Cricetulus griseus: one gene and its partner. The protein of the gene in region 1 interacts with the protein of each later gene in a pairwise test. Links are inferred from orthologs where the notes say so. Each region holds a gene or a part of one and is shown in the gene's direction. Other genes may lie near its edges. The genes, in order: Smurf2 and Spart.

Region 1 (16,526 bases):
CCATACCATAACCTAGAGAATCTAAGAACACAGAATCTAAGCTCAAGGATGGAGGAAAAGGGTAGTTTTCCTTTTTAAAACTTAAAATTTTATTTTGTGTGCATTGGTGTTTTCCTTACATGTGTATCTGTGTGAGGATGCCAGATCCTCTGGAACTAGAGTTATAGACAGTTGTGAGCTGCTGTGTGGGTGCTGAGAATTGAATGTGGGTCCTCTAAAAGAGCAGCCAATCCTCTCAACTGCTGAGCCATCTCTCCAGCCCCAAGAGGGTAGTTCTTTACAGATAAGAGTCTTATTGGGTAAGCCAAATCTTTGTGTGGACTTACCTGGTGGTACCTGCATTTATTGTGGGTAAGTTGAGATCTGGCTGGAGGTAGTCTATAATATACATATGGTATGAAATTAGGGCATCTGGTGGTCCATACTTTTATGTGATATGGTGTATCTGAGTTAGGATTATGTCACCTAGTCAGATTTGCACTGTAGTCAGCAGCTACAAAGCCTGGATTAGCAGCATTCAGATATGTGGATGCAGATGCTAGAGAGGTCAGGTTTGTGCGGTAAGCTCCTTTGTTTACTGAGCAGTCTTAAAGATTTATTTAGTATGTATACAGTGTTCTGCCTGCATGTATGCCTGCACGACAGAAGAGGACACCAGATCTCCTTATAGATGGTTGTGAGCCACATTGTGGTTGTTGGGAATTGAGCTCAGGACCTCTGGAAGAGCAGCCAGTGCTCTTAACCGCTGAGCCATCTCTCCAGCCCTTACTGAGAAGTCTTTCTGGCCCTTGTAGTTCTTTTTACCGTGTAGTTTTCTTGTGGCCTGCATTTATCAATGGAATCTGTTTGGTGATTTGCTCTATTAGGAGATTATCAGGTACTAAAGAACTGCAGTTTTTACATTCAGAAAGTTTATCCTGTTTACATTGTTGTAGAAGCAAGATGTAGAGACTTTTGTGCAACAGTATCCCTTTCTACTGTGCATTAGAGAATAGGCTGTGAGGGCTGTTATTTGTAAGGACTCCAGTAGGTAGTAAGGTTGAAAGAGTTTGCTAAGCAAATACAAGTAGTTTTGGGACTATCTTGATTTGAACAACAATTTTTATTAGGTTAAGAATCAAGGAGAAAATTTCATTATTTACTTACTAGTTTCCTAATCCTAATGCTTTGTCAGTGATTTTCTTAGGATTTTTATTGATTTGATAAATATGTGAATATATATTATGTTTGAAATTATGTAACAGGGCTGAGAGATGACTCAGTGGTTGAGAGCATTGGCTGCTCTTCCAGAGGTTCTGAGTTAATTCCCAGCAATTACATGGTGGCACACAACCATCTGTGTAATGAGATCTGGTGCCCTCTTCTGGTGTGCTGGCATACATAATAAACAAACAAACGCATATAAACAAATCTTTTTAAAAGATTATTTAACAACCTGTAGGCAATATATGTCAGTCACATTAAAGAATAACAGCTTTGTGGGACAGGAGGCATGATTAAAAATGTCACGTGAACAGTACTGATGTGTTGATGTGAGAAGGAGCTTGGAAATAAGTGGAGTCAAAGTGGTCTTAGAGGCTCACATGAAAGGACAAGTAAAAATCAAACTGAAAAAGAATAGAGTCAGTAGGGCTGGAGAGATAGCTTGGTGCTTAAGAGCACTGGCTGTTCTTCTATAGGACCCAGGTTCAGTTCCCCGCAGCCACATGGCAGCTCACAACTATGTGTAACTCTAAGATATGACACATTCACACAGAGATATACATGCAGGCAAAGCACCAATGCACATAAAATAAAAATAAGTAAGAATAGAGTCAGCAGTAGATAAAGAATGATGTGCTCTTGGAGAGGTTCTGAGTTTGGTTCCCAGCACCCATGTCAGGCATTTCACAGCCACCTGTAACTCCAGCTCTCCTTACCTCTGTGAGCAGCTGCACCCATATACACAAGCCCACACACAGACATGTAATTCAAAATAAAATATTTAAAAAGAAGAGTTAGCTTTCCTAGAAGAGTTGTACATTCTCAAGATTATTGTATTTGACTTCCTTTAGATACATACTGTTTCTTATCCTTGATGGCCATGGGCCACCCATGCTGTTTCCTAGGGCATATCTTTTTGGATTAAGGAAGTCGCTGTGATACTTGATTAAAAGTTGAAAATTGAACTAGAATCCGAGGGTTAGGGGAGGGAGGGAATAAGGGAAGGACAGACAAACATGAAACAGAGACAGAGACAGTCAGGAAAGGTTTACATTGAAGTTTCATAGAGTGGACAAGGTACTCTCAACCACTTTTAGGGTTAGTTGGAGTAATCACATTTGAGATGGTAAGAGTGTCATGGATGATGCCAAGGTAGAAAGATCTTCTATCTTACTTAGGAGAGCCAAAGAAATGAGGCTGTCTAGTGAGAAAATAATATGAGAAAGAAGGGTGGAATCACTGACATTTTTAAAGAGACAGAAAAATGATTTACATTTTTAATTTATTATTTGACAAAGTGGGATGAGTTATAACTCCTATCAGCTTTTTATCACGTGTATTTGTGGGGTTTGTTTGTTTGGGGTGTGTGTGTGTCAGGGTGCAAGTATGCCACTTCTAGTGTGTCAGTCAGAGGACAACTTTTGGGAGTCAGTTCTCTCTATCCACCCCGTCCACAATGTGGCTGGCTTCTGGGGATTGAATTCAGGTTGTCAGGCCTGGTAATAAGTGCCTTTACCCACTGGACCATCTTGCTGTCTCACAACTCGTTTCTTTTTGTGTGTATAAGAAAAAGTAACTCACATGTTTGTAGGCTCAATCTATATTTTGTGAGGAAGTTTTTGGACACATTTTAAAGTATGCTAGATATATCATACACATGTGAACATTGAAAATGGAAATAGATAAGTGATAATGCAATTTGTCAACTGCTTTAAATAGAGGGCTAGGCATTTGCTTTCTGGGTGTTTGAAAACATGTCATGCAGTTTATAGAACTGAGAGGTCAGAAGGAAAAAGGGGGCTTACTGGGGAAACTGATGATTTCCATCTTGAATACATAAAATTTGAAGGGCTGGTGAAATGTCTAAGTAAGGAGTGTATGTTTGGTAGTTGAAATTGGCTTGGAGCTTGCTTGAGGAGTGAAGCCAGACATATAGATGGGGATTTACTTGTCAGTATTTATTGGAAAACTTAACTGAGTGCATACACTCTGCTGTGGAGTACCCCCCCCCCCACACACACCAGTTCATATGTTAACTTTAATTGCTAAGGGTTGCTGTCTGTAGATGGAGCCTTCGGTAGGGAATTAGGTCGATAGGTGTAGAACGTGCATGAATAGGATTAGTAATAGATACAAAAGAAGGTTTTCTTTGCTTTGCAGGGATGCAGCAAGAACATGCCTGTGTACAATCTGGGAAGAAGGTTCTCATCAGACACTCAGCCTGCTGGCAATTGATCCTGGACTTTACATCTTCCAGAATTTTGAGAAATAGTGTTTGTTGTTTAAGCCACCCAGGCTACAGTATTTGTTTTGGCAGCCTGAACTAAGATAAACCTCTTGTCAGATTATGTGAAGACTCTTTTCTTGGTAGTAAACAGATTTCACTGGAAATTTTAGAGTAGAAAGAACAAAAATAGCTAATATGTGCTGAGCACTTGATAGATTATAAATTAGGTACCAATCTGATTGTTTTGTGTAGTTTAGTTTGTTTAGTCTTCAAAACACTATGAGGTAACTTATAGAAGTCTTATTTTCAGATGAAGTCTCAGGGCGTAGCTTCATTAAATAGTGTTTCGGATTACACACTAATAAATGGTAGCACCAGTCTCAAATGCAGTTCTGACATTGTCAAAACAGTTTTAGATTTATTTATTTATTTATTTTTATTCTATGTATGTATTTTGTCTGCATATGTCTGTGTACCATATGTGTGCCCAGTGCCTGAGGATGCCAAAGGAGGGTGTCAGGCTTTCTGGAATTGGAGTTAGCTGCCATGTTAGTGCTAGGAACTAAATCCAGGTTCTCTGGAAGAACAGCCAGTGTTCTTAGCCACTGAACTGTCCTCTCCCAACCCCTAAGTATGCTTTTCCAACCTCTGGGACAGCCATCATTTATGAGTAGGTCTGTTTGAAGGAAGACTTCTAGCAGAGGAAGTGGTTGAGTTTGGAATAGTGTCTTAGGGTTACGGTTGCTGTGATGAAACACCATGACCAAAGCAACTTGGGGAGAAAAGGGTTTATTTGTCATATGCTTCCACATCTTAATTCATCATCAAAGGAAGTCAGGACAGGAACTCAAGCGAGGGCAGGGACATGGAGGCAGGAAATGATGCAGAGGCCTTGGAAGGATGCTGCTTACTGGCTTGCTCCTCATGACCACCAGCCCGGGGGTGGTCCCACCCACAATGGATTGTGCCCTCCCCCATCAATCACGAATTAAGAAAATACCTTACAAGCTTGCCTGCAGCCCTCTCTTCTGGAGGCTTTTTTTTTTTTTTTTTTTTTGCTTTTCTTTCCCTCCCTCCCCCCTCTTTCCCCTCTCCCTTTTCTCCCACCCCCTTTCAAAACAGGGTTATTCTCTATAATTCTGGCTGTCCTGGAACTTGCTTTGTAGACCAGGCTGCCTCCTGAGTGCTGGAATTAAAGGTGTGCTCCCAGTTGAAGGCAGTTTCTTAATTGAGGTTCCTACTCTGTGATGACTTTAGCTTGTGGCAAGTTTATATAAAACTAGCCAGCACAAATAGTAACTGATAGAACAGTGTTTGGCCCCTACACAGAATACAAGGGAATTGATGTAACTAAAACAGTGTACATATATATTTTCATTTTTAAGTTGGAGAAAATAATTCATAGAAATAATGATTTAAAGCTGGGTGGTAATGGCTCATGCCTTTAATGCCAGCACTCTGGATGCAGAGGCAGGCAGCTCTCTGTGAGTTTCAGGTCAACCTGGTCTACAAAGTGAGTTCCAGGACAGCCAGGGCCACACAGAGAAACCCTGTCTTAAAAAAACAAAACAAAACAAAACATAAAACCACCACCAACAAAATAAACTGGTTTGAAATTCATAGCTGAGTGGCTGGAGAGGTGATTCAGTGGTTAAGAGCACTTGATGCTCTTTTCAAGGACTCCAGTGTGGTCCAAACTGGGAGACTCAAAAGGACGTGTAACTTCATCTCCAGCAGAATCCAATGCCCTCTTCTATAACTCTGCATGCACTTGCATGCACACATGTATAGCACATATACACATAATGAAAATGAATAAATCTAAGAAATTATGTGTAGTGAAATACTTTCAAGTAGTTCTCCAAAATGTATGTATGTGTTTAGATTTGTATTTGATACTTTTGCTTATTACAAAGTCCTATATTATCTTTTTCTTTTTTTAGAGATAGGGCCTTATGTAGACCATGTTACCCCAAACTTTTTATGTAGACTTAAACTTCAGTTCCTTCAGTCTTGGTCTCTCTAGTTCTGTGGATAGACATATACTACCGCACCTCGTTTATGTGGTGCTGGGGATGGAATCCAGGGCCCTGAATGTGCTACACAGGCTTCTGTCAATAGAGCTATAGTCTAAGCTCCTGTAATAACATGTGGCAATTCTAAACTGCTGCTGTCATGTGTCAGTGGTAAGGAATGGTGCACAGAAGCATATTTTTTGGAGCCTGGGCCAGCTTGTTGGGATTTCATTTAGAGGTGTTAAACTGGACTTCCATGTTAACTTTTTACAGTGCCAACGTAAGTTTGAAGAACGTGCAGAAAAATATGTTGGCTAAAATATTCTCTGTAACTTTTGAGTTACAGGAACAGTATTGTGAAAGTTTGTTTGTTTGGGAGCAAAGAAAAGAAGGATATCTGACTATCTCCCTCTACCCCCTTTGAACAGCTTCATTCCAGTGTGCATTGTAATTGGAATGCAACTGCAGTCTGGAGGAGGAAGGGGAATTTTTGGCAAGGATATAATGAGCAGTTGGGAGCTTTATTGAAATTAAGCACAGACAACCATTCATTATGAGTACAACTTACGAGAACAGCAGGGCATTCCATTCTGTTACCATTCTGTTACTACCGCTGGGCATTGCACTGATACTATTACAGATGCTTGTTGCAGGTAGGCAACTTCTTTCTAATAAAAAAAGAAACTAGTGACTTAACCCACAGTGTGGTAGCCGCCCTTCCACAAGTGTTTTTTCCAGTTACTACTTCAAATACATATAAAAAGATTTTTGTTGTTATTTTTGGAAAAAATTTAAAAACATTTCTTGCAAAAATAACAGAAGACATTTGTAGCCAATGTAGTGGCCTATTCCTATGATCCCAGCACTCAGGAATTTGAAGCAGGTTTATAAAAACCTGGATCTTGGTTTATAAAAAAAATATTTATTTTACTTTATGTATATGTGTGCATGTGTTGAGTGTGTGTGTGTGTGTGTGTGTGTGTGTGTGTGTGTGTGTGTGTGTAGGTATGTATGTATAGTGTGTATATGTAGAAAGCCTAGAGAGGTCAGAAAAGAGCATCAGATTTCCTGGAACTGGAGTTCAAGTAGTTATGAGGCACCTTGTGGATGATGCTGGGAACTGAATTCTGGTGCTCTGCAGGACCAGAGAGGTGCACTTATCCGCTGGTTCATTTCTCCAATCCCTAGATCTTGATTTTGAGCACAGCAGGGTTACATAAAAGGATTCTAATTTCTCCCTCAAAAAAAAAAAGGTATTTATGGTATGATAATTGAGTTGTATCTTTATCTGCAGAACCTATGATAGTACTTGGCATAAAGTGAGTACTCAGGAAATGTCAAATGAAAGAATGAAACTAGGCCTTGTGGCGCATGCCTTTAATGTTAGTACTCAGGAGGCAGAGGCAGGTAGATCTCTGAGTTTGAGGCCAGCCTAGTTTGTATGAGGAGTTAGAGGCCAGCCAAGGCAACTCAGTGAGACTGTCTCAGTAAAAAAGAATTGATTATTAATTGGTTTATTCTGTTCTCTATAAGCATATCAAGAAGGTTATACCCCTATCCATGTGAAATGTAGAGACATTATTAGCATACTATTCTATTAGTTACTTAAATCATAGCTGGGGCAGGGGCAACTTAAAGGAGGAAGGATTATTTTGGCTCTTGGTTTCTGAGATGTCAGTCTCAACATTGTATGAGGACTTAGTACAGCAGAGAAGCTCACATCATGGTGGGCCAGGAAGCAGAGCACAGGGACGGGGCATTTTGGTGGCTTTTCTTTTTTACCGCCAGTGTTCTAAGCTCATGGATTGATGCCAGCCACATCTAGTTTGATCTTTCTCCTTAATGAGTCCTCTCTAGAAACCATCTCACAAACATATACAGGTGTGCCCCACCTACTCCTAGGTAACTCTAAACCCAATAAAATTCACAATGGCGATTAACTATCATACAACTTTCCTTAATTTGGTTACCTTATTATTTCTTTAGAGGAGGTAGATGGACTAGCTAGAACAACTTTGGGAAGTACAGATTTAAGAATAGAAACACTTTGAGGAATTTGAGATGAATATTAAACATTATCAAAGTACTATAGCAGATTTAATCTGTATGCAGCTCTAGGCTCATTAGAGACATTGTCTCTAATGGACTTCAGTGGTAGTACTATAGTATTAATATGCTACATTTGTAGCTATCATTGATTAAAATTAGCACATAATTGCATAATATCTGAAGCTAGTGCAATGTGTTAATTAAAATTAGTGAAAATTTAATCAATCAGCATTTCTGTGTCCTTTGTTTATATTATTCCAATAAGAAGTTTACTAAATGTTAAAGATGGATAGGAGTAAGTCTGAACTATTGGCCCTCTCCTGCTATGTCACTCTTAACATTGTGTGTAAATGTCTCTCTTGAGAAACATTTAGAAAACAAGAATTAAACAGTCTTGGTTATATTTTACATAGTTCTGTTACCAAAAAATGATAGATTAAAAACATATATACAAATTCCTCAGAAACATACTTCCTTAGGCAAAGGTTGCATAATAATAGTTGCATAATCAGGAGTTTGTCATATTGAAATTCATGAATTCTTTGAACGGTTATGGAGTAATTCTCCCATAATTAATGTACTGAAGATGGAAAAAGCCAGAGAGCTGTGGTTCTAATCTCTGAAGTAGATTTTCAAGAAACAAGAGCAGTACAATGAAGACTAGAGAGTATGAAAATAATTTACTTATACAAGTGAATAAAATTACCATTTTCAGATCACATATTGATAATCCTCCCTTTCAGAGTTACAAATATAAGATGTTGCTTTGAAAGCATTAAACAGTATATATAAAAAGCACTTACAAAAAATCAGTTGGGGGGGGCTGGAGAGATGGCTTATCGGTTAAGAGCACTGACTGCTTTTCAAGAGGTCCTGAGTTCAATTCCCAGCAACCACATGGTGGCTCACAACCACCTTGAATGAGATCTGGTGCTCTATGATGGCATGCAGGCAGAAGACTGTATACATAATAAATAAATAAAATCTTAAAAAAAAAATCAGTTGGGGGCTGGAGGGATGGCTCTTCTGTTACTAGTGAGTCCTGAGGACCTGAATCTAGTTCCTAGTACCCACATTTGGTGGCCCAAGATTGCATGTATCTTGAGCTCCCATGGATCCAACACTCTTTAGGCCTCCATGGACACCTATTGCATGTGATGCCATAAACTCATGCAGACACACAATACACAAACAAATAAATAAAAAACATTTTAAAGCTATTTGAAGCTGATGAGATTTAGTCCCAGGAATAATAATCTGGGGCTGAGGAGAAGGCTAAAGTTGGTAAGTGCTTGCTATGTCAGCATAATAATCAGAGTTTGGATTCCTGGCACTTTAGGGGAAAAAAAAAAAAAAAAAAAACAACAACAAAAAACAGGCACAGCACACTAACCTGTAATCTTAGTTCTGGGAACTAAGCCCTAGAAATACTAGGGCTTACTGGTGTCAGCTAGTCTAGCCACATAAGTGTGCTCCATGTCCACCAAAAAATAAGGTGGATAATGAGGTAAATACCTCACTTCAACCTCTGACCTCCATCTATATGCACACAAAATAATCATTTGACAGTCCTGATGTTTCTTGCTTTAAATCTTGTTTCTTCTAGTACTCTGATTTCTCTTCTTTCCTTTCTTTTCTTCCTCTATTCAGTCAGTCAGTCAGTCAGTCAGTTTGTCTCCAGTCTCTTTCCCACCAGCCTCCTTGAGTGCTGGGATTACAGGTGTTTACTAGCACGCCCAACTTTCCTGTAGTTTCTGAATTATTTCTTCACAAATTTAGAATGTGTCCAGTTTTTATTCTTTTGAGTTTTCAGTATCATTTTAAATTTTTATTTTATGTGTATGAATATTTTGCCTGCATGTATGTTGGTGTACCATGTGTGTGCCTGGTGACTGTGGAGGCCAGATATCACACTGGGTACTTGGAACTGGAGTTACAGGTGGTTGTGGACTGCTTTGTGGGTGCAGGGAGTCGAACCTTTGCAAGAACAGCCAGCCAGTGCTCTTAACTGATAAGCCATCTCTCTGTAGCTCTCAGTTTTTTTTCTCACAGTCCTGGCTTTCCTGGAACTTGATTTGTAGACCAGGCTGACCTCAAACTCACTTAGATCTGCCTGCCTCTGCCTCCCAAGTGCTGTGATCAAAGGAATGTGCCACCATACCTAGTTTTTAATTTATGTTTTATTGTTTAAAGAAAAATAATCACCATTTTAGTGAAGTTTTGCAACACTTTGAGTTCTGTTTCATTCAAAAATGTTTTCTTCCTTTTGAGATTGCAAAAAATGGGTAGGTGAAGAAGCTTGGGACAGATGTTTTGTGGAGGGAGGGCATATGAAATGTGTGGTAAGTGAGAGATGGAAGAATACCTTTGAGAATTAGTCCAGATCTTATAGTAGGGAACTTAACTGGGAGTTGTATTGATGAGAATGAAGTCAGGGAGTAGGTAAGCAGTAGCCAAGGCCTTGAAGAGAAAATATGTTTGATCTGAGACCTTTAAGAATGGAGAAGAAAAGGAAAGGTCGTAATCAGGTGTTTGGAAAAGATCATAGAGTGTCCTGTGTTGGCACCTGGAAGCTGGTGAGGCTTGAGACAGAGACCCAATTAGAAGCTTGTAGTAATTGCTGTGGCTGAATTGGCTGAAGAGAAGTAGACAGATGAGGGTATCCCAGAGCTTCTCATGTAGGTGATATTGTTGGTTGAAAATACCCATCCTGGGGCTGGAGAGATGGCTCAGAGGTTGAGAGCACTAGCTGCTCTTCCAGGGGTCCTGAGTTCAGTTCCCAGCAACCACATGGTGGCTCACAACCATCCCTGGTACCCTCCTCTGGTGTGCAGATATACATGGAAGCAGAATGTTGTATACATAATAAATAAACAAAATCTTAAAAAAAAAGTACCCATCCCCTCCAGCTGCCCCTCTTTTCTGGGCAGGGGAATGGACCTGTGGTCTTGTGCATGCTAAACAAGTACTTCTGAAGTACACCTCAGCCTTGTTTAAAGTAAACTGGTGGAGGAATAGTTTGGGGTATATGATTTGCTTAGGAGCATTCTTTCTTTTGTGGACCTGAGGCTTGGAGATCTAGGTGTTCAGTTTTAAAGGTTAGATGTTATCAGAACTATAAAGTAAATGACAAAGACCCAGGAGAATATATGAAAAATGGCTTTTTATGTTTATTTACTGAGATGGAAGAGTTTTATTACTCTGCTAAACTATGAGCCCTCTTAGAGGTATGAGCTCTTTCTATAGAAAAATAAGAATATCAATAGCAGATTACATAGAATTTCAAGGTTAACTAAGATGAGCATCTATTTTATTTTTTTTTGAAACAGGATTTCTCTGTTAGCTCTGGCTGTCCTAGAGCTCTCTATGTGGAGCTGGCTGGCCTCAAACTCATAGAGATATACCTGCTTCTGCCTTCAAGTCTGGGCATCAAAGGCATTCACCACCATGCCCAACTTTGGGACTACACTAACCCATAGTTATACAGTAAAAGAATATACAGTAAAAGAAGGGCAATACCTTAAAGAACCTCAGCTTTCATGGATGGAACACCAAATATGGCAAGAAAGTCTTAGAGTGAGTTTTATGCCATTTGAGAATATGCTGTTAAATAGAATCAAAAGAAGAGATAGCTTCCAAAAGAGTGAGTAGTCAGTCAGTCGTGGAAAATTTCCCCGAGGGAGTAAATGCAACAAAGAATGCAGAGTATCTGCTGGCTGGATTTGATAATTAAGTCCCTGGGCTTTGGATAAGTAATGTAGGGCTGTGATGAGGGAAAAAGCTAAATAGTGGGGGGTGGGGGGTGGGGCTGAGGCATTGATGGGCAGGAACAGTAAAGAAGTGGAGCCAGATTATAGTTACTTGAAGTTACCTAATGAAAGAGCAGAGACAGATGGAGGGAAGCTTGAGTAGTGAGAGGAGACAAGGCCACATGTCTGTGGTGGCCCTCAAGGTCCATGAGTAGATGTGGGAAGTGATATCCAGAGTACAGGTGGAGAGAGAGTCTTGTACAACAGTGTAGACTTTGTAAGTAGAAGTATGAAAACATAAGTTTATGGCAGGAAGTTAGTTAGGGGAATTCTCAGATTGTCTGTTTCTCTGAAGTCATGAATCAGAGAATGAATGGCGATTTAAAAATCATCTTGTTATTACTATTAAAGGCCATAACTCAAGATTTGCATGTGTTATATATGTATTGATCCTACTGGCTTGATTTCTGTGCTGATAAAGGTTTGGGAAATTTTTCCGAATCCATTTTATGACTTAGTAATTTCACTTATGGTCTTAGTTTTCATGTTTGAATTTTTGTTTTTATAAACAAAACTGCCAGGTGTGGTAGCACACACCTTTAATCTCTGTAAATTCAAGGCCAGCCTTGTCCACATAGCAAGTTACAGGCCAGCTGGGGCTACATACTGAGACCTTGTCTCAGAAATCCACAAATAAAAATTTGCTTCTAAGATGCAGCCTAGGGATTTAGGGTATTGTGATTGTCAGTACCTTTATCCCTACACTGATGTTGTTTAATTTATTCAAAAGTAATTAGCTATAGTTAGGCCTCTTAGATTGATTTATTTATTTTTAAAGGTTCATTTATTTGTTATATATATAGTGTTATGTCTACATGTAAACCTGCAGGCTAGAAGAGGGCACAAGATCTCATTACTGATGGTTGTGAGCCACCATGTGGTTGCTGGGAATTGAACTCAGGACCTCTGGAAGAGCAGCCAGTGCTCTTAACCTCTGAGCCATCTCTCCAGCCCCCTCTTAGATTTATACTAAATGATTTTTATATGTCAAACTTAAGTTGTTATGATAAACCTTTAAAACTGAGAAGTACATAGGGATTAACCAAAAACTATTCATATTTTATATATTTAATTATACGTATATGAAACTTTTTATTTTTCTCTTTCCTTGTTAAGGTTTTTGTTTGTTTTTCAAGGCAGGGTTTCTTTGTGTAGCCCAGGCTGTTCTGGAATTTGCTCTGTAGATCAGGTTGGGCTCAAACTCACAGCGATCCAACTGCCTCTCCCTCTCAAGTGCTGGAATTAAAGGCACCTGCCACCACCTCCTGGCTCCTTGTTAAGTTTGAATTAAAGACGTTTATAAAGGCTGGAGAAATGGTTCAGTGGCTAAGAGCACTGACTTCTCTACAATTCCCAATACCTACATAGTGGCTTGCAGCAGTCCAGAACTCCAATTCCAGGGGATCTGATGCTCTCTTCTGGCCTCTGTGGACACCAGGCACACATGTGTGTGTTCATATATTGATGCATAGAAACACTCTTACACATAACATTAAAATAAAATTAATTTTTTTTTATTTTATGTATGAGTGCTCTGCTTGTATACTTGCGTGCCAGAAGAGGACATCAGATCCTATTATAGATGGTTATGAGCCACCATGTGGTTGCTGGGAATTGAATTCAGGACCTCTGGAAGAGCAGTTAGTGAGTGCTCTTAACTGCTGAGCCATCTCTCCAGTCCATAAATAAATTTTTAAAGTGTTGAATTTGATGATTTTTGGTAGATTCAGAAGGTTGTGCATATATTCACATTACAAGGCACTCAGATTTGAGATATTTAGTTTTTTAATTTACATTAAGATTATATTTGTTGATGAGTGTGTGTTGGGGTGGGGTATGGAGGTCAAAGAGACAACTTTCAGGAGTTGGCCCCTCTTCTTCTACCATGTTGGTCCTGGGGATCAGACTAAGGCTGTCAGTCTGGCATGTGCAGTCTAGCCAGCATATGGGTGACCCATCTTGTCACTGAGGTATTTGAGGGAAGGCAGGTCTCTCCTGTAAGGTTTCTGTGTCATTTAGATAAGAGCACTGATGGGGGAATGTCCTTCTGTATATGTTTCTCTTAATAGCCAGGTAGGAAGTATAGACAGGGCTACCAGAATTCTGGGGAGAGGTGGTGACAAAGACACCATGTAGCTGCTGAAAGAGTAACATGCTGGAACATTCTCTGGTAGGATAAGACCATGTGGAAATACTTAGATTAATAAGAATGGGTTAATAATTAATAGAGAGCTATCCAGTAAGAAGCCTTAGCCATTGGCCAAACAGTTTCTAACTAATATAAGCATCAGTATATTCATTTGGGACTGAAGGGCAGTGGGACTTGGCAGAACAGAAAACTCTTGACTACAGAGCACAGAATGTTAGTTTTTTTAAAAAAATATCAAATTATATCAGGAAATTTTTATTTATGTTCCTCTTCTTTAGAAAATTATTTCATCCTTAAATAGATATGTCAACCTGAATTTATGTATCTTCTCCTTTGAGCCATTTTCCCATTACCACCGGATTTCTTCAAAAATAGATCTTTTTATTTTTAATTCATTTTTATTTGTGTGTATTCGTGCATGAAGTGTGTGTGTGTGTGTGTGTGTGTGTGTGTGTGCGCGCGCGCGCGCATGTATACATATGTGTTCACACATTCACCTCTGATTAGAGTCCAGAAGAGAGCAGAGCATTGGATCCCCTGAAATCAAGTTACAGGCATTTGTGAGCAGTCTGACCTGGGTGCTGAAAACTGAACTGTGGTCCTCTGAAAGTGAAAGTACTCTAAACCACTGAGCCATCTCTCTAGTGTAGCACAAATTCTGATTGGTATTTAATAATAAAACTTGGAGCCGGGTGTTGGTGGCGCACGCCTTTAATCCCAGTACTCGGGAGGCAGAGGCAGGCGGATCTCTGTGAGTTCGAGGCCAGCCTGGTCTCCAGAGCGAGTGCCAGGATAAGCTCCAAAGCTACACAGAGAAACCCTGTCTCGAAAAACCAAAACCAAACAAACAAAAAAACCAAAAAACTTGGAGTCAGCTATCAGGAGGTGAAAGCTGAAGAACAGAGAAGCAAAGCAGCCAGCCACTAGAGAGTTCTTAACCTCTACCAATACGCAGACCCAAGGGGAGATCCTGTCCTCAGACTGCACTGCCTCTCAAGACTGCTTCCTCAGACTGTTTCAGACTGATGCCTCAGACTGCTATGATCTCTTGTCTCCTCCCACCTTAGTCCTTTCTCTGCCTAGACATAGCCCTTCCTGTCTCCACCTCCTTAGTACTGGGATTGAAGGCGTGTCACTCCAAGTGCTGGGATCACCTTTGTGTGAGCTCTGTTTCTCCTTTAGACTGGATCAATTTTGGGTAGCCCAGGGCGGCCTTGAACTAACAGATCCATCTGCCTCTGTCTCTGCCTCTGCCTCCTGAGTGTTGGGATTAAAGGTGTGTGCCACCACTGCCAGACCTCTTTGGCTACCTAGTATGGCTAGCTTTGCACTCTAATCTTTAGGCAAGCTTTATTTGTTAGATCATAAACAAAATATCACCACACTCTAGTCCTTTATGAAAAATTTCCCTCTTAAGAATAGGTCTTGGTGGAAGATAATTGGATCCCTGTTATAAAATGATCAGATTTATAATTTTGTTCCTCTACTGTTACTAGTGATTATTGCTAAGGTTGCAATCATTGATACTCAACTTTGTTGGCTAGACTCTTCAAAGTTTATGATTGTATTTCATACCTCACTGTAGTTAGAGTTTAATTATCCACAGCTGTTTTCGATGTTTAAAAACGAAGCAATGAAGTCTTACCATTTTAATTTAATTTCCTATGTATTTGTTTTTGTTTCTTTACAGTACTCTGTGCAAAAAACTTGGTGAAAAAGGATTTTTTCCGTAAGTAAATTAACTTTACTACAAATCTGTATATCCTGTGTAGATTTTTGGGGAGTTGTATTTTCAGAACTGCCTGGTTTAGGGATTCAACAACAGACTGTTATGAGTGCTATAATTACAAGTCATTTGGCCCCAGACTTATCTAGAGGATTTGGGGATTTTGCTTTACCCCTTTTCTTTATCCATTTCTACACATTTATACAAATGTGTGTATGCAGGTATATAAAGGCAGGTGTTTAGGTTTGTAGAAAAGGTTTAAGAAATATTTTGATACTCTTCTACTTTAACATTTTAAGGAAAATTCGCTCATGCATTCAGGATTTATTGGGAGGTAGAAAATTGAGTCTGCTTGGAGTTTCCAGAGTTGTAGAAAAGAAACTACTGCCAGTCTCCAGAGCAGGCATTGGTTCCACATATGTAGTCTATTTGCCAATTAAATGCAGTTTTCTTTTCTTTCTTTTTCTTTTTTTTTTTTCTTTTTTTTTTTTAGGACAGGTTTTGCTATGTAGCCTAAGATGGTCTTGAATTTATAGTCCTCCTGTCTCTGTCTTCTGAGTATTAGAATTACAGGCATTAACAATGCCTAGAAGTTTTGAAAATTTTTGTAGCTTCATATGGGATTAAGTTTTATAGAGAGAATTAGGAAGTTCGCTTTTATGTATTAAAAATCCTGGACTGGAGAGATGGCTCAGAGGTTAAGAGCACTGACTGTTCTTCCAGAGGACCTGGGTTCTATTCCTAACAACCCCACATGGCAGTTAACGGCTGCTTGTAGTTCTGGTTCCAGGGGATCCAGCATCCTCACACAGACACATATGTAGGCAAAACACCAATGCACACAAAATAAAAAGAAATAAATTATAAAAAAATCTTAGTTCATAATCTCTTTCCTCTTCCTCATTTTGTACTTGTTGCTTTTGTTTTGAGACAGGCTTTCAGGTAGCCCAGTCTAACCTTGAATTCTTGAACCTACTGTGTAGTCTCTGCAAGCAGATTACTGGAGTGCACCACCACACTTAGCTTTGTTTTTAATTTTAACCTTGTAATTTCATACTTTACACTAGCTTTAAATTATTCAGTAACAGTCACAAGATTGTAATTAAAAACTTTTAGTCAAAAATTTTACATGTAAAGTATTTGAAATTAGAATTGTTTTATTAGATTTTAAAATCTAACTTCTGTCAGCTAACAGCGTGTTTGGTATTTAGTGTGACATTAGGTAATTTTCAGGTTGGTTAAAAGGAATAGTAAATCTCAGGCCTGGAGAGATGGCTTAGTGATTAAGAGCACCTGGCTGCTTATCCAGAGGGTCCAGGTTTGATTCTCAGAATCCACATGGAGGCTC
Region 2 (16,510 bases), on another chromosome or scaffold:
GTTCCCAGCACCCACATGGCAGCTCACAACCATCTGTAACTGCAGTTCCAGGTGATCCAGCGCCCTCTCTGGCCTCCACAGGCACTGTATACATATGGTGCGCAGACATACATGCAGTCAAACACTCATACACATAAAATAAAAATAAATCTTAAAAAAATATTGTAATAATTAGTTGTAATCCCAGCACTTAGAGGTGAGAAGGGGGTTTGAAGCCAGCCTACATAGCAAAACCTTGACTCATCAAAATCAAACCAAATCAGGCAAAAATTGAGATGATTTTTAAAACAGTAGAGATACTTAGTAAAGTTTAAAAAAGTTTTCTGTTTTCTATCAGAGTAAAGAGGGATTTTGACAGTTGCAAAGGGATTTTAAATATAACCACAGTTATTGCTCCTGAACACTGTGGACCAGTCTGTGGAGCTACAAGGCAGAACCACACAGAAGTACTGAGTATGCAAGTTCACAGGGTTCCATCTAATTTATATCCTGGTGGAATTTACACAGAACAGCAGTTTCTTCTGCTGGGGCTTTTAGGAACCGTCTAGGTTCTGTCATTCAGAATCTGAGTCTTGTGGCAAGTTTAGCAGTCACCTATAAAGACACAAATTCTTTCCACTCATTCCCACAGCATTTGTGTTGATGCAGCTGGCACTGACTCCTCAGAAGACAGGGATGGAAACCCTGTATCCTGGTTTGTGGTTATGTGGCATTGAGTGTTGAAATGGACATGGGTAAATCACAAGTCAGCTCCAGCTCCATGTCAGAATGTGTGGAGGTTTTAACATCACCTTACAAAAAATTAGAATCACGTGAGTAGGGAGCCTCACTGGGGCTCATTTTCTCATATGCAGGACCTTCCATCCCTGTCAGGAAATACCTGATGTCACACAGTCATAAACCTAAAAGACCGTCCTAACACCTTTCCCTCTTCTGTGTCCAAGCCTGCTCCAATGAGTCAGCTGGGTTACCTGAGTAGGGTCATGAGGATTGAGAAAAGGCAGATAAAAGAAACAGGGACAGAAACACAGGATAGATTCGGGAGGACTGCCCAGTTAATACTTTTCAGCACACCGGACAGCCCCGAGTTTAATTTAGACCCTGCTTATATACAGACTATAGGCAAAGCAGAACAAAGAGCGGCATAGTCAATTAACCAGCTCCCTGCACTGTCCTTTAATGAGGAGCAGCCAAGCTCACTACCTATCGTGTGGGTCCTGCTAGCAGCAAGCAGCTTCATTCCCTATCTCTCTATGCCTTTCAGCTAGCATCAGAAGCTTGTTAGTTAGATAATATGATCTTTTCCCTGGGCTTCATCAGAACTTTTTCATGGCTCTCAGGGAGACTGGAGCTAGCAAACTTGAACTCTAATGTCTTATTAGCCAGAATAGACTCCAGATGGAAACTGAGTCACTTGTGGGCTCCCACACCTCTGTCCTCCCTGCATCCCAACTCCAGCAGCCTTATTCTAGTAGTCATAAGACCCATCACTCTGGGTCTGCCAATTTATCTATTTTCCTAAAGAAAAATAAAAACAGAAAATCCAAAATTGTAACATTGAGGGGGGCGGGGCAATGTGTCTAAGTGATCACAGTGTCAAATGGCTTCCATTTATTTAGCAGCAGATTAATTTTAATTTTTGCATATAGGTGTTTTCCCTGCATGTATGTTCATGCATCACATGTGTGCATTGCTTGAAGAGGCCAAAAGAGGCCATCAGATCGCCTGGAACTGGAGTTACAGATGATCATGAGATGCCATGTGGGTGCTAGAAATTGAACCCAGACTCTCTTCAAGAGCAGCCAGTGCTTTCAACTGCTGAGCCATCTCTCAACCCCCTCAAAGAGGTTTGTTAAAACAAAACAAAACAAAAACACAGCTTTGTGTATATACTATGCCAGTCATTCCGTTATGCATACAGACAGGAAGCAGTGTTTAGCTATCATTGCCATGTTTTAGCAGTGAGAAAATGGAGGTGCAACTGATCAGAGTAAACTGGCCCATGGTCCCAGAGGTTAGCCGCAGACTCGGAGTTTCAGTGTGGGTGCTGGGCTTCAGGGTCTGTGCTCTGGCACAGAATGCTTAGCAATCTGTTCCCTCCACCCAGAGTCAGAGCTTTGCATATATTATCATATTTAATCCCGAGCATAAGCCTTTGAAGAGATCACTGCTATCCCAATTCTACACATGAGGAAATGAAGTTTTGACACTAGTAAGTAGGTTGTCTAAGTTCGAGCTGGAGGTTGGCAAGAGGGCAAAGATTCAAATACAGGTTCTTCTGACAGCCCATGCTATTAAATATGTCTGTTTTAGAGCCAACCTAAGGAGGCCACCTCCTCTACCTTGGCAACATTACTTTCTTTACAAAGATCTTTCTGGTTTTCATAAAATATATCTCCTCTTGGGGTAAAGAACACCAGGCATGGTCAAGGTTTAAAATCACACACTCCAGTTTAAACTGTAGTTAGTACTAGATACAAGACCTTGGCCACATTTTCTGTCAACAAACCTCATTGCACATTGTTTGGATGGGATTCAAGGATGATGCATAGAAACCATTCGTGCTGTGTGCATGGTGGTTAGTGCAGCACAAATTCCCAAAGAGTAACAGGTCTGTAAAGGGTGGAAATCTGGCCCTGGCAGGCCATTGCTGGCGTCTGGAATCCTCTATAAAAACCTTTGGGATTTTCATCTTTTTGTCAGGGGACAGTCACCTGTTTGGCCCATGAGAAATTATAAAATTAAAAGGTACTTATTTTTATTTCACATGTATGGGTTTTTTGCCTGGATATATGTACATGCACCTCATATGTGCAGTACCCATGGAGGTCAGAAGAGGTTATGGGATCCCCTGAATCAGGAGTTAGAGATTGGTTGTGAGCCACCAAGAGTAAGCTGGGAACTGAACATAGGTCCGCTACAAGAGCAGCCAGTGCTCTTAAACACAGCTGTCTCTCAAACCCCGGGAGTATGAAATAAAAGTCAGACACCTCTGCTTGGCTTGGGAAAACAGTATTGGTCCAAATTTAGTTTTTTAGAAAGTTGGTCTTGCTGGGTTGCAAAAGGCCCTGTAACTAATTAACCAATTGATCTGTAACTGGATAGTTAAACTGTAACCAATTGACTGGTTGACTGAGTGGAACTCATTCCATAGCTCTAGGCTGCCTTTTCTTTTTCTGTAAGTGCCTTCAGATCATGTTGGATTTCCCAGAAACTGCTGTAGCTCTTGCTTCCCTCAGCAGCTTGTTTTGCTCAAATAAACACTATTGAATTTAATTGGTCTCAACAACTTTCCGTTTTGTAACCCTCATTAGGAAACTTTGTAAGGCTTCCAGATTTAAGGCTTACTTAAATAAGTAAAATCCATCTCCTTTAGTGTTGGTTGTCAAGACTATTTACAGAATTTAGGAAAATTTGTTTTAGCTTCATAATTTAATATTGATAATCTTGGGTTATTAATGTGTGTGGGGGGGATGTGAATTGCAGAGACTGGAGGAGGACACTTAGAGTCCTGCTCTGTGATTCTACAACATTATTGAGACAGGGTTTCTCACTGAGCCTAGAGTGAGACAGTCTTAGCAAATCCACACAAGCCTCCTGTCATCCATTGGGTCACAGTGCTGTGTCATGGCCATTATTAGCTTATTATATCAATGCTGGGGATTAGAACCATGTCTTCATGTTTGTTCAGCGAATGCCTTTAGCCACTGAGGCATCTCCTCACTTACAAAATTGAAGACTACAAACAGAGGGTTTGACAAGGTGTTGATGAAAAAAAAAAAGGCCTCTGCTTATATTTTTCTGGACTAATTTTCTTTAGACTGCTTTTTGGTCCCGTGCAGTCCATTCCTTACCTCTGCTCCACCCACATGTTGCTGAATGTTGTACAGGTTAGGCATCCCTAATCAGGGAGACTGGAATGATCCAGGATTGGTAAGTGATTAGTACCATGGTGCAAAGGGTAAACTTCTTCATTTGATAAGTGGCAGTCAAGATGTAAACACACTAAAACTGCATAAAATTGCCTTCAGCCTGTGTGTGTAAGTTATACATAAAACATAAATTAATTTTGTTTAAATTTAGGTCTCTTCATCTCCATAATACCTTATCATATCTGTACAAGTATTCTGAATTTTAAAATATATGAAACCTGAGGTATTTCTGCTCTCATGCATTTTGGATGAGAGATACTTGACTTGCAAGATCTATTCTGAAAGAGCGGTGTGGCTCCTGAACAGTGTCCGTATATCAGGGTTACACAGGGTCAGTTGAGCCTGCAGTTGGTAGTGAGGATAGACCTGGAAGTCAGTGTTTCACCACTATGGCTAAAATAGCGTAGTTATACACAGAAGCCATAGTGAACATAAATTTATCTCAAAAACAAACTAACAAAAAAACAAAGACTAAACATATTTAACTTAAGTTCTTGTCCAGATCCCCGAATACCCACATCTGTTTTTGACATTGAGGACAAGACAGGAAGTCAGATTCGAAGTTAGTGGTTTTAACCTGGAAGTGCCCCTGGATTTTACCAAAATACATATGACCACAGAGCTCATATTGGGAGCTGGCTTAGAAGGAGCCTGTGCAAAGTAGGACCCTCATGGGTAGCCAAGTAATACGTATCATGCTGACCATTTAAAATAGGAAGGCAATATTGTTGGAGCTATCACACTGATCAAAGTGGATTAGGATAAAGCCTCCAATGAAAACTTTACCCCAATTTTGGATTTGCTACACATTTTTCATTGAAGCCATTAAAATACAGGATACTGGAATTTTCTTTGGGGGGGCTCTGTAAAAAAATTGGTATTTTTTAAAAAAAAATTTTAAGTCTCTACAAATTTCTTAAGCACATGCAGTGGATGAAGAAACATCCGTTTCAAAAAATCTAAAAACTCAGTGAGAACAGCAGAAGGTTTTGAAATTTGAATCCAGTCTTTCTCTTCCTCCTTCTTTCTGCCTTTCTTTCTGTTTCCCCATCTCCCTCTCTCATGACAGGTCACTGGGATGGAAACCACCCCAGACTTTTTTGGCCAAAAACAGTCTCCGTGGCCAGTAGTTGGTGAGCTAGCCCCACCCAGCATCTCTCCTCCTACCACTCCTACGTGTTGCTGAAGGTAGGGTGTTATGAGGATGGTGGCAAATACGGTGGGTGCTTCCTCCTTCTAAATACCACTAGAGGGTATTTAGACATTAAATTGAACATGGCATACTGGAAATACCAGGTCACAACCACTCCAAACTGTCAATCTTTGTAAAACCATTTTGAAGTAGTTCCTAGAAACCGAGTAAGTGAATAAATATAATTAGTTGGTAGCAAATAGTTTTTCAGTCAAATGATTCAATTTTTTTATTGCCTGAAGAAATGGACTTATTGCATCAACACAGTGTGGATATGGCATTGTAAAGTGATTTGGAGCATATAATTTGAAAGCAGTTCAATGAATTGAGGAAGGATGCGGTTATAAAATCTGCCTGATTCATCTAAATAAAACAAACAGGAGTGTGTCCTAGTTTCATCTGTTGCTGTGAGAAAACATTTCATCAAAAAAGCAACTTGTAGGAGAAAGGGATTTGGTTTAGCTCACTATTCTAGGTTAACAGTTCATTGTGGTGAGGAAGTGAGCAGGAACCTCAAACAGCTAGGCATATTCCATCTACGTTATAGAGCAGAGAGAAAAGAATGAATGCATACATACAAGCATGCTCACTTGACTGCTTGCTTGGGCTCAGCACAATTTTTCTCCACCCTTTCAGGACTCCCTGCCTAGGGAATGGTGCTGCCCACAGTGGGCCCGCATACATACACATCAACTTAACACAGACCATCCCCCATTGAGAGTCTGTCTAGGTGACTACAGGTGATGTCAAGAGAGTAAAAGGAGTTTTATAATACCCATTCAACTATTTGGATCAAGACAAATGAGTACTTGTTGGCACAGTTCTAAGGGTAGATTTGATGTGCTGTTTTTGGTTGCTTACAATTCCCACCAGTGATGCAGGAGGGCTTCGAACCATCTTGCCAAACCTGTTACTGCCTATGTTTTGATTACAGCCATTCTAAGGAAACAGAAGTCACACCTCATTCTGATGTAAGCCTGAAGACTTATGGTATTGACCATCTTCTGATGCTGTTTCTGGTGGTCTGAATATCTTGTCTGAAGAAATCGTTACTCAAACCCTTTATTCACTTTCAATTTTTTGCTTTTATAAAGCATTGAGGTATGTTCTTTATGCATTATAGATTCAAGTAAGAAATAATGACCTCTTCTTCACTGCTGAACCATCTCTCCATTCCCCGTCCTAGTTTTTCTCTGTGTCACAACAGACTTAACTCTTTGGATGACAGGTCAGGTAGGGTCCCAGGCTCCAGTCAACATTAGTTCTCTACGTCCTCAATGCTCGACCCAGGGCGCCCCCTGGCGGTCAGAAGCTGTCATCGCCCGTGGCTGTGCCGGTCCCTTCAGCGGCCCCAGGGCGGCCGGTAGGGAGTGCGCAGGCGCGGTCCGACGTGGCCCGGGCCTGGCTGGGACCGGAGTGTGTCGGGCGTGTACGGCGCTCTCTCAGTGGGCTCCCGGGCTCGGAGCGGACCGCTGGCCTCCGGTGCGCTTTCTGGAAGGTCAGAGTGGGCAAAAGCTCAGCTCGGCGCGGGTGTGGTGACGCGTGGGCGGGCCCGGACACAGAGGGCGTCACTCGGGGCTTTGTGAGCCAGACTAACCCGGGGTACGCCGCGGGCTGTGGGGGGCTGCGGCCCGCGCCACGCCGGCATCTTGCAGGGAGCTCTTCTGCCGCAGAAGTTTCCAGAAGTCCTGCAGAGGGTATTCCAGCTAGTATTGAAGGAGCCTTCGCCCTCCCTGCACCCTCCAGAGTGCTGGCCCCGGGAGTGGCGCTCAGGTCTTAGATCCTCCCACCCCAGGACGCCGCGCATCCCAGTGCGGGTCTTCCCAGCCCTGGTACTCGCTTGTTCCCTGTGAGTCCTTCCATACCTGGTCCCTGCGGATTCCTAATCTGAGTCCTCCCATCCCTGATCCCTCCCTATTCATCCCTGTGTGCGTCCTCCACGGTTCTCTTTCCAGACCCCACTGGCTTTCTCGCTCCCCAGGGCCTACAGCTTGCCCATGGGTGGGCAGCCAGCTCCAGGAGCCACAGCACTGGGAATGAATGGCGTGGGGGTTTGCTCATTGGAATAGACTGGTTACTGGCATTCAGCGTCTCTGAGGACCCCTGCGGCCTAACTTCATATCTGGAAAAAGTTTTCTCTGGGAATGCGCACGGTTTTGTGACGCGGCATTATTGCGTTAGTGTATGGCTGGCTCCGTTACTCCCATGGCTGTGTTATTTCTTGATGGTCCTCGAGGTTTGCCTTGTTGTATTATACACTTAACGATTTTGCCTTCTAATTTTTCCTTTTTTTTTTTTTAAATCTCGATAAAATGACCCTCGGATATCTAAGAAGTTAGCAACTATCTTAAAATTTACAGAAGCAATTAGGCGAATAATAAGTCAGTAGAAGAGTACTCCTAGTTCCTAGGGAACTGCTCTTGGTCCGTGCTCTTTTCTGACCGTCTTAATCGATGGTCGTGGAGGACTTGTTTGAAACAGGAAACCTCTGTACTAATGTGGAATGTGGTTTGCTGCCCATGCGTGGTGCTTTCTGAAACATACAGTTCTCTAGCAAGCCAGAATTGGCTAGAATGGTACAGGAGTCGAATAGAAACCCACCCGGAGTTTTAGTTCCCCATGTTCCCTACCAGGATAGGAGTAAGTGATGTAGTTTTTGGATCTTAGTTCAGTCTGCTGACTGTAGCTAATCATGGAATGTTGTACACATCAGTGGGACTGAATTTCAGCTGTCTCATTTTTTAAATGTCATATATCTGGGGTTTTGAGTAAGCTAATTAGCTTTATTTCATCATTCCATATTTCATTTTTTAAAGAATCAGAATAATGGGGCTGGTGAGATGGCTCAACCCTGGAATAGGTACTTCACTTGCAGAAGACCCAAGTTCAGTTCCCAGGGCCCATATCTGTGTTATAACTGCCTCTTATTCCAGCTTCAGGGGATCCAATGTCTCTTGGTATCTATACTCCAGTGCACATAGCTGCCCCTCCCCACATGTGCAGAATTAAGCAGAATTAAAAATAATAAAAACAAACCTTTAAAAGACTAGTATAGTTCAAAAGTCAGACTGCACTATCACTTTGTGCCCTGTAAATGTCTGTATGTAACTTGCCGGTATATATTTTAAATAACAAACTCTTCCCTTTCCCCCTTTTTTTTTTAACAGACAAGGCATGCTGGCTTTAGAACTTCTGTTGCTAGCTGTGTTTCCCTTGAGCACCATTGTTTGCTACCTTTTCTGTCATAGAATGGAAGCCAGTTTCCAAGTATTTTGAAACAGAATTTTACTTGTGCTAGTACAAAGTGAACCACAGACACACATGCATATAGCTGTGTTTGAAATAGGTGCATCTGAAATTTTTTATTAGAATGTTTAAACAAGCTGATGGCAAAGTTTAAAGAGCTATGCCTGAGGAGGACCTGAGTTCAGATCCCCCTCTTCCCCCCCCAAAAAAAAACTGTAAAACTGTAATCTCAGCCCTCCTACTGGGAGATGGAAGGCAGAGGAAAGAGACTTCCCAGAAACTAGCCTTGTCTATGGAGCTGAGAAAACAAACAAACCCCAAAACCAAAAACAAAACCTGTCTTCTTAGAGTGAACAACACCCAGTGTTGTCATCTGACCTCCCTAGGCCCTGGGGCACATGTCTGCCAACTTTTCACCTGCAGATTTGTTCACACAAGGATAAGAAAAGAAAAATGTTTAAAAGTCCACCATTGTTATCTAGAATCGGGTATTGGTTCATGATTTGATAATTTGAATATCAAGCTAGTGAAGCACTGTTTAATACTTCAGACTGACATTCCAAAGGCTTTTCTTTTCCAAACTTTGAGAATTAAAGCATATGAAATCATTAACAACTTTTCAATCTTCTCAAGACCTACAGTAATCATTTTCCTTGAGAATATGACTGGACAGTGCTTGGTTCACTGTTTCTTCTAAGCACAGGAGCCCAGCTGGCTGCCCCGAAACCACACCCAGCCCAGCATAGATAGCCATGAAAGCAGCCCAGCACTATGTAGATGGTAGATGATGCTTTTGGAAGGTTGTACACTTCTGAGTCCATGCCTCCTTGGGCCCCAAGAAAAATGAACTATGGAATGTTTGTCCTGTGGCTTCTGGGAGGAGAAAGTGGTTGGGATCTATTGAAGCCTGTGGCATTATGATGACATAGCAGGATATAATTCCAGGGAAAGTGCAGGGTTAATTTCAGTAGTGACACTGGGATAGGGCAAATACCCGTTTGTATGTGGCCACTTGTATGTGGTATTTTCTGAATTGGAGGCTGTGTGTGTTCTGTCCACTACCATGAAGTTGCTGTGATTGGGCCAGCTATTGGCCTGTCTGATTTTCAGTTCTGAGAAGTCTGACTATTAAAGTCTGTGGCATCTTCACTGTGTAGACAGCTATGGAGATATTCTTCTGTCTCTTGATTTTTCTTCCTGTCCTGAGAAGCTGTACAGAGAGCACAGTGCTAAGCACGGGCACATGTGGGTGTTGAGCGTTTGCTGTAGAGTATATTGGACTTGACATACACTTTGAAGTACAGCAAAGGCTGTCTTTGGAAGATATAACACAAAGAAAAGTACTCCACAAATCATTTTTATACATGTCAGAATAATACTTTGGTTGTATTAGATAAAAGCTATCATTGAAATTTCACCTGTTTTCTTTTACTTTTGTTAGTGGTTCCTGGAAAATAAAAATTAATTTTGTAATCCTTCTGGACAAGGCTGCTGCAAGGCTTGTATTTATTTTGTAAAGTAAGTAACTCACCTTTCACCATGTACATAAAGAATTAAATATCTTTGAAAGCCAGCCTCTCTCTTTCCAAAGGCAGCTTAGATTGGTTTTCTGACCCAATTCTTGGTGTTTCCGTATCTCTCAGCAGTATAATAACATGGCTACTTTTTGTTTTACAGTTAAAGTCCCACTGAAGAGGTTTCAGCTCCTTCATCCTGACACACAAACTTTCCATCCACCCATCTTCCCATTCTCTCAGTCCAGTTTGCTGCAGTTTTCAATGTTATGACACGAAGAAAAACAGAATATGCCCTGATTACTTCATGGTTTTTGTTTGGCATGTTCTATCTGGAGTTACTAATTATCTTGATTTTTATCTCTGCAATTTTTCATTTTTACTAATTAAATCCTGAATTTTCCCAGGGTTGTATAAATCTTTCCTAAAACCTAGAAACACACCAGACATTGTCAGTTTTTATTTCCTGGATACTTACTGAAGTGTCTTCCAGTCTGGATGTCACTCTGGAACCAACCTGGGAATCCCATCTTCAGCCCTGGGATTCCACTCACCGAGTGCAGTGTGCAAATAACTGTCCCCAGGTTGGCCTCTCACCCTGTGCTTTAATGTCCCCCTGAACCTGCTTTCCAGCTCTGTCAGCTCTGTTTAAACTCAGGAATCTGTGCTTCCTCTTTGGGATTTATCTGCTCTCAGTGAATTACTCCCTTTACTCTTTCATCCGTATTTTCTCTATTCCACTTTTTAGAGCATTTTATGGTTCACATGGGGCCCTCTGGACAAAGTCCTAATTTCATTCTTGTTTCCCGTTGCTCATCTTTTTATTTCATTGCTCTCCATTCTGGGCATTTTCTCTAACTAACTTTTTCTCTCTCCACCGAGTTTACTTTCCAGCTGTTTTATGTGTAGTTGTTAAAAGCTCGTTTTTTTGAGGGGGGTGTCCTTTTGGGTATATGCATATCTTTTATCTTACGGATATTTTCCCCTAAGAGGTGAGCTGTAGGTAGTGGTGCATCACCTTGTTTTTAACTTTTGAGATAGGATCTGTAGCTGACCAAGTAGACTACAAAGCCTGTCAGTGAGCTCCAGGGATCTACCTCCCCCGCCCTGGGGTTAGTCCCCTGGGGCTGAACTCTGACCCACTTCTCCAGCCTTTACAGTATTTTAGGACCACCAAGAACATTCATTTATCAACTATGAAGTACTTGCTGAAGGCTCTCTCTGAAGGATTGGGAGCAGGACAGAGATCAGTGAGGCAGACCCTGTCCTTGAAATATATTCACGTAGGAAACAGGGCTAAGTACACAAAACACTAACTGGGTAATGGCAGGTGATGTTTCTTGTCTTGCAGAGATGGAGCAAGAGCCAGACAATGGAGAACCCGCTGAGATTAAGATCCTCAAGGAAGCATACGAGAAGGCCTTTTTGTTTGTTAATAAAGGACTGAACACGGATGAGTTAGGGCAGAAGGAGGAAGCAAAGAACTACTACAAGCAAGGAATAGGACACCTGCTTAGGGGCATCAGTATCATGGCTGCAGAGCCAGGGTGCACAGGCCCCGCGTGGGAGTCAGCCAGGCAGATGCAACAGAAAATGAAGGAAACACTTCAGAACGTCCGCACCAGGCTAGAGATTCTAGAGAAGGGCCTTGCCACATCTCTGCGGAATGATCTTCAGGATGTGCCTAAGTTATACCCAGAGTTCCCTCCTAAGGATACATGTAAGAAGTCCCCAGAGCCAGATTCGGATAGTTCAGCCCCCCAGCATGCTGAAGTAGATGGGAGTGCCTCTGCTGCAGGTGCCGCAAGCGCTGGGCCAAGTGCTGCGCTCTCTGCTGGGCCCCTACCCAGCTGTCCCACCGAAGCGCCCCCAGCCTACACCCTCCAGGCTGCCGAGGGTCACTACACTGTTTCCTATGGAACAGACTCTGGGGAGTTTTCCTCCGTGGGAGAAGACTTCTATAGGAACCATTCCCAGCCGCCCCCTCTCGAGACCTTGGGGCTCGATGCAGACGAGTTGATTTTGATACCGAACGGAGTGCAGATCTTTTTTGTAAACCCTGCAGGAGAGGTTAGCGCTCCCTCATACCCCGGATACCTGCGCATCGTGAGGTTCTTGGATAATTCTCTGGATACGGTTCTGAACCGCCCTCCTGGGTTTCTCCAGGTAAGCTCTTTGAAGCAACGTGCAAGCATAAGCCAAGAAACAGGTAGATTATCTCATTTTTTGTTGTTGTTGTTGATGTTTGTACCGCACAGGGTAAGAGCTAAAGGAAACGCATTTCTACTGAGTTCTGATACATCCATGTTTAGTTTGCTGGGATTTCTTCTGTTTTTAATGTTAGAAAGCTGGTTTGGATTTTATTTGTGGTTGGTTTTAGGACCTAAGAGAGATTTTTTTTTTAATTTTTATCTGAAGAAGACTTGTAGTTACTTAAATTTCAAAAGGTATTTATGGGAATCATGAGACTGAATATCAAGACCCACGGGGGGGGGGGGTGTGAACTGGCCTAGAACCACTCAGCCAGGGGCAGTGTTGCCCCTTGAGGGATCATTTTTAACAGTGTCTCAGAGTGTTTTCCTTACAGCTGAAGGGTGGTGGTTACCCGGTGTATCACAGCAACCAGTGAAACTGCTCAGTGGCCACACAGTACAGCCCATCAGGAAAAAATTGTCCATCCCTAAACCTCAGTCAAATGGAGGTTGAGAAGCCCTGGCCTCCGGGGGCTGAAATGCAAATAGGTTGACCAGAATGGTCCAAGAGTAAAAACTAACGAGAAGAAGTAACGTGTGTCAGGGCTTTTCTGGGGGCTTAGTGGTGTCTGCTCAGGTTCAGTCCAGCAACAATCTGCTGTGAGAAGGTTGCATGTAGGTGCCAGGAGATGCGCTCTTGAAAACTGGGGCACAGTATACATTCATTAGGTTTGTGTGGAAGAGAGATCACTGTTTAAACAAAGCTATTGCTTGTGCCCAGCCAGAGTCAGATAAGGTAATTTAGCTAGGCACTGGCTGTCTACAATTTTCATGCTACTTTGCCCTTGTTCTTATGGAAGTCATTTAACAACAGTTGGAAGCTAATCAGATGTGGAAACAGATTCTTGGGGCACAGTTGAAAGATTGATTACTGGACAAGAAGAATTGACTCAGTTCTCTCACGGAAGAAGCATTAGGGTTAAAAAAGAGCAAGCTGGTGACTGCGGTTAGGGGAGGGGTCGCAGAGAGTTTCTGCTGGTCTGGTTAACAGTGTTGCATAGTCACTAGACCTAAGAGATCTCTGGGTCCTTGACTCGGGAGGTGCAGGAAGAGAGCATCAGAAAGATGGCCCTTGGCTGCTGGATCTCAGATACGAAGATGCTCTCACTCCACCAGCACTTACTTTATCTTGTCCTATTTGATTTAATTTGGTTCTTAATGTTTTACATACCTTGTGTTTGGGTACTAAATAAAAAGTAGAAGTGCACCCCACATCAGCTGCCATATTAGCTATTTGTTTGTAGCAGTGTTCTGGAGTGTCTAATGAATGTATTTATCCTAAAAAACAAAAACAAACAAAAAACAGGTAGTAACACAGCTGTCTATTAGAATTTAGGTAAAATCGCCTATGCTCTAAAAATCATTATTAATTAGGAAAAGTAATTTTTTTAAAAGATTTCTGAGTTCCCTGGCATAACTTCATACTTTAGAAAACATTGTAGTTAGCTTTGTTCTAAACTACATGAATTTTACTATAGTAAAAATTGATGGCTTTTGAGATAGAGAAGAAAATTCATTTAAAAAAAGGGGGGGGGGGGCTGAAAATGTTTTTCAGGCCCTTTCCAGGAGTCAGCCTTGAGCAGTGTGGTCTTTGCACATTGTCTTCCTCTTCTGTTCAGAAGGGGGCGATGTGTCCAGTTCCCTTTGTTTCTGTAGATTGATCAGACACCTTTGGGTGTCTTCATGGTGGATGGTAGTCTAAGGATGGGACAGTTATACTTCATTTGCTAGAGAGTGTAATACAAGAGAAAGGAATACATTCAGGAATTGTTTGGATAGCCAGGATAATATGAGCTTAAGTCTGTGTGTTGGGACAAGCTGACCTCCCCAGGTGGTAGTACAGAATCATTTGGCTTTAGTGTCCCAGTCCCCAGTGACATACAGTGTTCTGCTCTGTGTGTGAAATGTCAGGTTCCCTGGGCACTTGTCAAAGCAAAACCTAAGTAACAACTCTATTTTTGACACAAAGTACATGCTCAGGTGCAAGCTGTACTTTCTAGTGGTCAGTGCTGAGAACCTTAGTGACCTGGCTGTGTCTCACCATTTTCACAATGGAAACAACCTAATTGTTCATAGGGATAAAAAAAAAATGTGGTGTGTGTATAGGTAGGATACTGTGCACCACAAATGCCCTGGAGGTCATTTTGTTAAGTGAAAATAGCCAGACACAGAGGGTCAAGTACCACATGATCGGAAGACTGAGAGTGGAGTGATGGTTACTAAAAGCCATGCATGTGGGGAAAGTAGATGGGGGAGAGGAAAGGGTTGGTCAGTGGGTGCTGAATAAGGAATGACCAGCTGTGCCTGTATAGGGTGTAGGAGAAATGCTGTGCTTTTAGAAGAGATTTGAGTTTTCACTGTGAAGAAATAATGGGTTTCTGAGGATGTGATACATTTAACTTCACCAAAACATTACTGGTTACTCTGTTAGCATGTACAGCTTTATAGTTTTATTTACCAGTTCACAGTGAAAAGGACTAGCCAGATTGATAGAATGCTGTGAGGATTAAAGGTATATCAGATACTGTACTAGAAAATTATTTCGTGCTATAAAGGGATCTAGTTAGAATAATCAGCTCTTGGTTTACATTTTATCTAAAGCTAGCATCATCTTTACTCAAATATAGGAGCCCTTAAGTAACCCCACTAGCTGTAAGACTATATGAGTGGAACATTTGCAGCTGTTTGTAATGCAGGAAGGTCAAGGTAGAGGATGGTTTATTTAAGTTGGGGTTACTGATGGTCTATAAAACCATCAAATGCATCAAACTCTGACAGATTTGCTTTTACTGTAACAATCTTTTGGAGACCCATTCGCTGATGGAGTTTTCTTCTTGACTCTTTCAGGTGTGTGACTGGTTGTACCCTCTAGTTCCTGATAGGTCACCAGTTCTGAAGTGCACTGTGGGAGCCTATATGTTTCCAGACACCATGTTACAAGCTGCGGGGTGCTTTGTAGGGGTTGTTCTGTCATCTGAGCTCCCAGAAGATGACAGGGAGCTGTTTGAAGATCTGTTGAGGCAGATGTCTGACCTTCGGCTCCAGGTAACCCAAATCTTAGGTAAACTGACTTTAACTTGAGCACCAAAGATGTGATTTCAAAGACCAGTAACATGCTTCAGGGAGATTTTTCTTCTTCTTCATGACATAGAGACAAAAGTCGTCTGCTGTTGGTTGTTCAGATTATGGGCACTGGAGTTAAATTCACTGTGTGGTAGCTGTTAGCCTCAGCTGTTACCAACCTGCTCTGCCTGTAGTTTTCTCAATGTAACACTGGGTCAGGGATAATGTGCACGTCACTGGGCAGTGGTGGGAACTGAAGCTCTCATCGAAATCTAGCCGTGGCCCTGCCCAGTGAACGGTGCCTATTTTACTACTATTTACAGTGAGGTTGGCTTAAGCTGTAAAATTCTGAGGATAGTTCTGCTTTAGTAGATTTGGACATGTCAGGTGTATGAATGGTATTTCAAGAGAGATTTTGGTGGACACAATGTTTTTTATTCTCATGGTGAATGAAGGTCAAATAAAAAGTGATTTGGTCATGTGCATGTTAATTTTTTGTCCCCAGAGGAGGAAGAATTTATTCAGTTCATGCTTTCAAGAGTAGTTTTAAATGCCGTGAGGCTGACAAAGAAACAACCATGCTCACTGCAGTAACTTGTAGGTGCTCACAGGCCTAGTACAGGACTCCTTTGGCCTCACCTCTGTGGGCCTTCGCTGTCTGGCTTTAGGAAAGAAATTAAGTAGACTCCAGGGTTGCAGGATGCTGCTGTATTTAATTTTATGCTTTGGCTCTATTTTATTTTTAGTTTCTGTGCTGTTGTAGAATGTCAGTTGTAAACTAGAAGTATTGGCTCTGATTTTTACATATAAACATTTGGCTCATTCAGCAGAGTATGTACCACCACAGTACCTGTGGCATTAGATGCAGACTCTTGGCTCCTTCCAACAGTATAGTGCAGTTAAAAATGAGCTTTGTTCATTCCTAGCCCTTGAGCACATTCTCATCTTGCTGTGTCTCCTCAGATTTATTATTGTATTAATTAAATCCAAAAGTAGCAGTATCGATTTTAAAGGTAACCTACATGAACAACTGCTAGTGGTTGTCTTTTATACCTCTTCTTTTGAACTTCACTGTCAGCCATATTGTGTAACTCAAAGAACTCAAGAGGTTTAAGGTTTGGTAAGGAAGTGAAACAGAAGTTTAGATAGAAGAAAACAAGATTTAGGGCTGTGGCTCAGAGGGCAGAGCACCTGCCCTACAAGGAGGAAGAGTGGATCCCAGAGTGGATCCAGCTAAAAGCTGCACACAGTAGCACTGGCATCTGTAATCCCAGCACAGCCCTGTCAAGCTAGCAGGGCAGAGGCAGCAAG

Evidence for each region.
Region 2: the proteins of Smurf2 (region 1) and Spart interact in a two-hybrid assay, tested with the Homo sapiens proteins (2 studies listed by BioGRID and IntAct). The link is inferred for Cricetulus griseus from reciprocal best matches to the Homo sapiens genes SMURF2 and SPART.

What each region holds. Positions count from the first base shown.
Region 1 is NC_048600.1:119,819,814-119,836,339, reverse strand, and holds the start of Smurf2 (E3 ubiquitin-protein ligase SMURF2), read left to right. Parts: upstream 1-5,983; 5' UTR 5,984-5,998; coding exon 5,999-6,098; intron 6,099-15,142; coding exon 15,143-15,181; intron 15,182-16,526. UniProt on the Homo sapiens protein: E3 ubiquitin-protein ligase which accepts ubiquitin from an E2 ubiquitin-conjugating enzyme in the form of a thioester and then directly transfers the ubiquitin to targeted substrates.
Region 2 is NW_023276806.1:96,037,649-96,054,158, reverse strand, and holds the start of Spart (spartin), read left to right. Parts: upstream 1-6,503; 5' UTR 6,504-6,622; intron 6,623-9,811; 5' UTR 9,812-9,888; intron 9,889-9,956; exon of another isoform or gene 9,957-10,468; intron 10,469-11,235; 5' UTR 11,236-11,237; coding exon 11,238-12,050; intron 12,051-14,983; coding exon 14,984-15,181; intron 15,182-16,510. UniProt on the Homo sapiens protein: Lipophagy receptor that plays an important role in lipid droplet (LD) turnover in motor neurons.